Linked DNA regions of Saccharomyces cerevisiae S288C. The protein of the gene in region 2 interacts with the protein of the main gene of each other region in a pairwise test. Each region holds a gene or a part of one and is shown on either strand. Other genes may lie near its edges.

The links.
Region 1: the proteins of YIL001W (region 2) and CUL3 interact in binary tests that used the Saccharomyces cerevisiae proteins (3 or more experiments, as listed by UniProt).

Annotation. Positions count from the first base shown.
Region 1 is NC_001139.9:498,517-503,194, reverse strand, and holds CUL3 (cullin CUL3), read right to left. Parts: upstream 3,064-4,678; coding exon 829-3,063; downstream 1-828. Other genes in the region: PEX31 (peroxisome biogenesis protein), read right to left, coding at 1-257; SWC4 (Swc4p), read left to right, coding at 3,289-4,678. UniProt on the Saccharomyces cerevisiae protein: As part of the CRL3 E3 ubiquitin ligase complex; polyubiquitylates monoubiquitylated RNA polymerase II subunit RPO21 to trigger its proteolysis; plays a role in global genomic repair.
Region 2 is NC_001141.2:352,198-356,181, reverse strand, and holds YIL001W (uncharacterized protein), read right to left. Parts: upstream 2,243-3,984; coding exon 701-2,242; downstream 1-700. Other genes in the region: SGN1 (Sgn1p), read left to right, coding at 1-39; phosphoinositide 5-phosphatase INP51, read left to right, coding at 2,751-3,984.

The DNA.
Region 1 (4,678 bases), on a different chromosome or scaffold from region 2:
CAAGTGATGATACTTAGAAAGTTATCCACAACAATTAAATATGGGTATAACCTCACTAATGACCTGGAGACTGTTTTAGGTGTTGAAGTCAATAAAGGAGATGATAAAATAGCCTCTTGATCTTCCTCATAAGTTTGGGCGCTTAATTTACCTCTTCGTTTTCTTAAAGCGCTACGAATGTGTTTATTCTTGCTTTCTGTAGACTCAGCTACTGTACTTGAGGTTGGCTCTAGATTTTCATTATTTATTTCGCTCATACTATCAAATAAAGGGAAACCAAGGCTTGACAACCAGGGAAGAATACCAAATTTAAAAGTGCCGCTTTATTGATAATAATTTTGGTGAGCTTCTCTTATACCGTAAATTTCAACATATATTTTTCTACCAGGAAAAGTGAAATACGGCCGCTAAGCATCTGAAAAAAAAAAAAGAGCAAGGCGCTGCTATTGATAATAGTTCCTTTGAAGCAGTGCTACGCAGGTCTGAAAGGCTCGTAACTTTAACTTACTTAATGATTAAGAAAGAAATTATTTGACTCAACAAATTCCTAGAAGTTTTTTATAAAAATATAATGAGGCATAATAAACTTCAAGAGATATCGATTACCCACTCCACATTACATTCAAGTTTGACTGGGATATATAGTCTACCATAACTATGTTATTATATATTTTGAAAGTTTCACTAAGGAATGCAGGATGAACATTCAATTAGTATCGACGCATATCCTCTTAATATTGTTCGCTCTGGCAGCCGGATAGGAACTGCCATCTATATATACTGTTGGCATTCTGCAAACCTTATACCTGTGATTTTCATTATAAGCAATTAGGAAAGGTAATGGTAATAAGAGGGGTCATCTGCGTTTCTCTGGATGTATTCTTTCTCTATTAAAAGCTGAATGCTTCGTTTCAAAATGCTCGGTGTAAGACTGAGCCGAGACTGTGTCCGTTTCGTAGTTCTTTCAAGTAATTGCTGATGGCTTAGCTTACCTTCTGTTTTCATGATACGAACAATAATAGCACTAAGCTCCATAACAATTTCATTATCATAAGTGTCCACGGAACTTGCGGTTGCCAAATTATCTGATTTCTGAGATGGTAGAGGGCATGCAATAACCGGCACTTTCACTTTCCTGTTTGGAGAAGAAAAGAAATAATTAACTGAAAATTTCATATTTCCTGAACTGGATGATTTTTTCAAAATCTTACATCTGGGTATTGTCGACATTGACATTACAAGAGACTTAACGTCATCTATGGGAATATGAGTTAGTTCATATATTTCCCCCAACGTTAATTCTTCATAATCTTCAAATAGAAGGAAAATCACTCCAGCGTAAACAGAAAAACTTATTTCGTAGTAACCGCTATTAAATTGGCAGCCAATTTCAATTACACTTAGATGATGAGCCCACTTTAGCACTCTTTCTTTGTATTTTAAGCTGTAATAGCCCTCAAAGCCAGCTAAAATTTGTGACATTCTAGGAGGTAGTGAAATACCTTCATCAATTGGATTAGTACTCTGAAAGGGCCAGCTCGTTCTCGTCAAAACTTGTGGTGCAAAACTCAAATATTCTATGCTGTTGATTGTTGAGTGTTGGAATGCTTGATACATTTCAGAGGATAAAGATATATCTCGCAGCATTATCTCCAATTTTGAGGTAAAAAAAGTTCCTAGAACCTTCTTTATCATTTGCACCATCCATTTTTCAATTTCCACTAAAGACCTCTGCTGCAGTAATCTTCTGGAGAGTTGTTTTTTGTAAATCTTTTCAAATATATCCTTCTCAGTTAGGAGTCCGATTAATTTGGTACTATCAAGCAAATCTTGCTTGATCTTCACTATTTCAGCATCTTTTTCCTTGGTTCGTTTCATACAATGGTCCACGTAGGTAGAAAGATACTCAGATGGTAATGCTCCTTCTTTAGAGAAATACATTGAGAAAACATCGCCAAGTATTGCATTAGATACATCCCCGGTCAAATTATTAAGACGAACAGAACCAAAATCAATACTTTCCAAAAACGAGTGTTGACTGCGATATAGCTCTACAATTTCCGAAGACCAAGTAATCGCATTCTGCCCTTTTTTGCGGTTACCTTCATTAAAAGGAATATTTATGGCATTTTTATTGATGTAAGATTTAATAGATTCAATGACAGTAACGCGATATTTTTCCTCGCTTGACAAGTCATAAATTTCTTGGAGTAGCTTTCCATTTGAAATTACCATTGCTTCGTGCGTTAGATCTTCAATAATATCACTCAACTTTCCCCATATAAGGACATTTTCTAATACAGTCTTCAACTTATTATGAGAATCCACATTTAGAAAAGAGGAGTCTAGCATACTTTCAAACTGCCTTAACTTCCTAATCTTTTCCAGGCTCTCAATTGGCGTTAATAATTCAATATCAATAGCTTTATTGTAGTATTCTTCTGTCGCGCTAATCAAAACCGGCTCAAAATCGGTTAAGAAAAAACTATCTCTATTGTCATGTAATGTCTCCATCATTCCTATTAGTACTTTCCACAAACTAGTATGTTCGGAGTCGACAGATCCTAAATTACGAATCCTTTCTATATCAGATATCAGTGCTGAGATGAGAGAAGATGAGCATTTTTGCAATATTTCGATTCGGAAAAGATCGAGGCACATGTCGTATACCTCCATGCATCTATTTGGTTTGCAATAAACTTTGTCCATATACATCATTAAGTCTCCCGTTATTTTAAAACAATGGCATTGCACCTCCCATAACCGTGCCATAGTTCCAAGAAACTCATAATCATGAGTATTGTCCTTGACTATCGTTTCCCTCAAAAGCGCTAATTTTTGGATTAAATAATCTTTCAATCTGTTATAAAGTATTGGCCCCTTTTTATTTAAAACGATAGTATAAATGGTCTTGTACACTTGTTCGAAGGAAAGGTCGGCCATGTCATCGCTGTATATATGATCAATGGCATATTTAACTGTTTCCCAGGATTCCTCAAAAGATTCTTCTGACAAACCGAGTTTTTCTGGGACACTTATCTTTATTTTCTTATTAGTTATCATATAGTAGCCCTAATTTCAGATTTGAGTTAGCCCGTTTAGAGTATACTTTATATGAATCAGATTAGAATACGCACACTCGAACTTATTTAATGAAGTTGCGATGCGCCAACTCCGGGTAGCTATTTAGTGATAAATCAAGAATCCACTTTGTATTTTAATAGCAACAAGCATTCATAACATATTTCTCCGATAATACGAAAATTTAGTAAAAAAACCACAGGTAATATGTCATCATCAGACATCTTTGATGTACTAAACATTAAGCAAAAATCCAGAAGTCCAACTAATGGCCAGGTATCAGTGCCTTCGTCCTCGGCAGCCAACCGGCCCAAGCCTCAAGTGACGGGCATGCAAAGAGAACTATTTAACCTGCTAGGAGAGAACCAACCCCCCGTTGTTATTAAGTCTGGAAATAACTTTAAAGAAAAAATGCTTTCGACGTCCAAGCCATCTCCTTGGTCATTTGTAGAGTTCAAAGCTAATAACTCTGTGACTCTGCGTCATTGGGTCAAGGGTTCCAAAGAATTAATAGGAGACACACCAAAAGAATCGCCATATTCTAAGTTCAATCAGCATTTATCTATTCCATCATTCACCAAGGAGGAGTACGAGGCTTTTATGAATGAAAACGAAGGAACTCAAAAAAGCGTAGAAAGTGAAAAAAACCATAACGAAAACTTTACTAATGAAAAGAAGGATGAAAGTAAAAATAGCTGGTCTTTTGAAGAAATAGAATACCTGTTCAATCTCTGCAAAAAATACGATTTACGTTGGTTCCTGATCTTTGACAGATACAGTTATAATAATTCAAGAACACTTGAAGATCTCAAAGAAAAATTTTATTACACCTGTAGGAATTATTTTAAAGCAAGTGATCCTAGCAATCCGCTTTTATCTTCTTTGAATTTTTCAGCTGAAAAGGAGATAGAGAGAAAAAAGTATTTACAGCGTCTTCTTTCTCGTTCTGCAGCAGAAATTGCTGAAGAAGAGGCACTCGTAGTAGAGTCCAAAAAATTTGAAATGGCTGCCAAGAGAACACTTGCAGAAAGAGAATCATTACTCCGACTGTTGGACTCGCCACATTCAGATCAGACAATTACACAATACCTTACCTCTCAGGGAATGTCTCAGTTATATAACGCGCTTCTAGCAGATAAAACTAGAAAGCGGAAGCACGATTTGAACATCCCTGAAAATCCTTGGATGAAGCAGCAACAGCAGTTTGCCCAACATAGGCAACTTCAACAACTGAATGTAAAAAAGTCAGAAGTCAAGGAAAATCTCTCCCCCAAGAAAACCAAAAGACAAAGACAGGAAATGCAAACGGCGCTCAAAAGAAAGTCAGAAAGCGCATATGCAGAACAATTGCTGAAAGATTTCAATTCAGATGAAAGGAAGGCTTTAGGTGTGATTACGCATGGTGAGAAGCTATCGCCGGGTGTATACTTAAGATCTACAAAATTATCGACCTTCAAACCTGCGCTGCAGAACAAAATTCTCGCCATTCTTCAAGAATTATCGTTACCTTCTCGCCCTGTGATGCCCTCATTTGATGTAATGGAAAGACAAGAGGAGCTTTTGAAAAAAATCAATACGCTTATCGATTTAAAAAAAC
Region 2 (3,984 bases):
AACGTTAAAAGTTCTACCCAAGAAAAAGATTCGAAATAAACACAAGGCTTTCATGTGTATACTTAATAATAATTAAGTGAGCTGCTGCTTTGAATAAGTTGAAGGACAACTGGTGTTATCTCGCTTGTCTATCCAAACCTTCAAGAATAGGGTAAATGCAAAAGCAAATATAAAATGCCACAACTACAATCAAAAAAAGAAATGTCATCGCTTGTTACAATATTTTCATTCCTTTATTCAAGGATTTTTTTTTTTAATTTTTCGTTAAAAAATATTGATCACTTTATAGGGAATATTATGTACCTGGCTACAGCTGAAGCTTGCCTCTGTATGTAAAGTATCTAAAATATATCAATTTTTTTTTTTGGATAACACCTGTTTTCATTACCCTGTATCTCGTATTCGTGAAAATAACTATTCTGAAGTAATAATTATAAAAAACATTTCGGAAAACAAAACCATTAATAATTTGTTTTTAATTTTAAATATCAATATTATAATAATTTATAATATTATAAAAATTTAATTAAAAATATAAAAATTTTCACGTGAATCATATGTATATATATTTTTTACAGAAAAAGTATCATACTTCTTATTATAATTGTCATTATATTTTTTAAGAGTGCGCAGCAGTCATTGGCAATATTCATCCGTTCGCAGTGACGCGTAAAAATACATAAGGTTATTGAATGCGGAATTATACATCAAGTTCCAGATCAGCTAGGATATTATCTAACATACCCATATCTTTTCTGTACTCCAAATACCCTACTTGTTTTAGGTATTCTAAATCGTCTTGGTTTTCGAACAGCTCCACATCATCCGGTTCAAAAGAATATTTTCGGAGCAAATAGTACCTAATGTCATCCACTAGTTCAATAGTATCAGTTTCCTGGCGGAGAGAAATTCGTTGTGAACTCAACATAATTGCCCTTTTAATCTCTGGATCTTTATATAACTCTTGCAAATGTATAGCTATAAATTTAGCTGCAAATTGTTCTAAGCGTTCCACTCCTATTTCCCATGATAAATAGAGTACGTCAAAAACATTGTATTGCTGAATAAACTCTTTTGATTGTGTTATAATTGTAGAAGCGATAGTTTTTAAGCGGTCTTCTAAAAGTATATCGGCAAGTAACAAAACATCGACGGCATACATCCAAGGAATGTCTGTATTATCTGCATATAAGTAGCGGAGAATAATTTCGGCAACCTCAAACTCACAATTGGGTAATGTCAGCTGTGGAATGATACTATTATACTTTCCTGTAACGTGCTTGGCTTTGATATATGTAACTTTCTCCTTGAAGTTGTTTGTGAACATCACCTTGAAATATTCTGCGCGGCTCAAAACAGCCAGGTGACAAGGGTATATTCGAATGGCTCCATTTCGGTTTTTTACCATAAGTTGAACATCCGGATAAGCTGGACAGTTCATCAAGGAAAAAACTCGTCGTTCACTATTAGCAAGATCAACAGTAGATCTAAAGATACAATTGTTCACAAATATTAAAAGTTGACTTCTTGCAACCTCGGTAAACTTATATTGGTAATCTGACATTAACCTCGACTTTTCCGTAGGATCGGCGGTATGCCTTGCTTTGTCTAAAAATTCGGGCAATAACTCAATATCAAATTTACTAGATAGCTCTATAAGTTCTTCATATTGTCCCGGTTCAATTTGGTGCAGGATCGGAATTAAGTAAAGAAATTTCAAAAATATGTCAAATATATCTGGGCGCACTTCAAGAGAAACAATTTCATGCTTTGCCCACTCATTCACCATTTTTTCTGCTAGAATTTCGCTCCTTGCACATAATAAGAACTTATGCGCTGTGAACAGTTTTCCATTCGAAACTCTGAATGTGATATCTCTTTTAAGGAAGCCTTCGTCATTATACATCGATGAGATATGAGTAGCAAAGGGTTGCTTGACATCTACAGCCTTGGATATATCATAACTTAAAAGGGTATCTCTGATAGTATCGGTCAATGCTCCATAAATACATCGAGCTCCTTCATATCTGTCTCTATCACAGACGGCTCCTCTCTGTAGAAGAAGTTTCACGACTGCTTCATGCCCGCAAAGGCTAGCCAGAAAAAGTGGCGAATTGTCAAACTTGTCAACACTATTCACATTTACTCCCGTGGAAATCAATCTATCAACATTGTCCATATCACCAGTGCGGCATGAATAGCACAGTTCTTCAAAATTTTTGTCCATTAATTTATCTGCCATAAATATGCCAAAGGTCGTTTTCAAGTGGTAGTGTACAATTTATGACAAATCTTTCCTGTAGTTTTTTTTTTCTTGTATTTTTGTTTATTGTCAATATGACCATAGAGAATAGTAAGTAAATTGAGTGTCCACATCTACGTAGTCCACGTATTATTATTTTACTTAAAAGGGATGGGTGTTTTAGGAATTCAGAATAAGCGATACCGTTTCTAAATTCTCAATTTAGAAGGTTAGGCAGGAATTGAGTTTCAATATAACCTGTTAATGTCCCTTTTTTTTTATCTTCTATTCTTGACGTCGTTTTATCTCCTTCAGGGTTTCCTGTTTTCCTTCTTGTTTAGCATTGCCTAATTGCTAAACGAATCCCTTTGTTAAACATTTGTAAACCGGAAAGTTGGAACAAATATCTACACAAATCAAATAGCCTTTCTATTTCATTCTAGGATTAAGTCAGCAAATATTGATAAAGTTGTGTTAATCGTATGAATTCGAAGCACATTTCACTACAATGAGACTCTTCATCGGTAGAAGATCACGGTCGATTGTAATATCTTCCAACAACTACTGTTTATCCTTCCAGCGTTTGCGCAGCATACCAGGTGCCAGTTCTCAGCAGCGTCAATTAAGTAAAACTCCTAGCGTAACAATCAAGTCCTACCCTGACACAGATCTTTCAAGTGATAGTAACTATCTCGAAGTCAAAAGTTGCATATTTAATGGATTATTAGGGCTCGTTTGTCTTAATGGTGATATATATGTTGCCGTCATATCTGGTGTTCAGAATGTTGGGTTTCCTCGATGGAAACTGATAGATCATCAAGTTAGGCCTTCGGAGAGCATTTATAAAGTATTGGATGTTGACTTTTACAGCTTAGAAAATGATGTTTTCGACTACCTCCTCTGCGAGAGATCAGAGCAAAACTATGATAAATTGATTCATGAGCATCCTTGCGGCCCCCTGAAAAAACTGTTTAGTGATGGAACATTCTACTATTCTAGAGATTTCGACATCTCTAATATCGTGAAAAACCATGGTTTATCACATAACTTAGAATATACCGTAGATAATCAAGATTTATCATTTATTTGGAATGCTAACTTAGCAAGTGAGGTAATCAACTGGAGAAGCAAGATTTCAAATGAGGAGAAACAACTTTTTGCCAACGCAGGGTTCTTAACATTTGTAATTCGGGGTTATTGCAAGACAGCATTAATAGAAGACGGCCCAAATACAGCCTCTATAACCATTATTTCCAGAATTTCGACTGAGAGCAAGCAGGATACGCTAGAATTGGAGGGTATTAGTGAAGATGGGAGAGTGTCGCTATTTGTTGAGACAGAAATTGTAGTAACCACAGAAAAGTTTATTTTTTCTTATACTCAAGTGAACGGAAGCATTCCTCTTTTTTGGGAATCTGTAGAAAGTCAACTGTTGTATGGAAAAAAAATTAAGGTAACAAAAGATTCTATTGAAGCTCAGGGAGCTTTTGACAGGCATTTTGATAATTTAACCTCAAAGTATGGTGTTGTGAGTATCGTTAATATCATAAAACCTAAAAGCGAATCACAAGAAAAGTTAGCACTGACGTACAAGGATTGTGCTGAATCAAAGGGAATAAAAATAACAAATATAGAATACAGCTCAAGCGTTCTGACAAAGTCTCCCCACAAATTACTTTATTTATTAAAACAGGATATTTACGAGTTTGGAGCGTTTGCCTATGATATCTCTAGGGGCATCT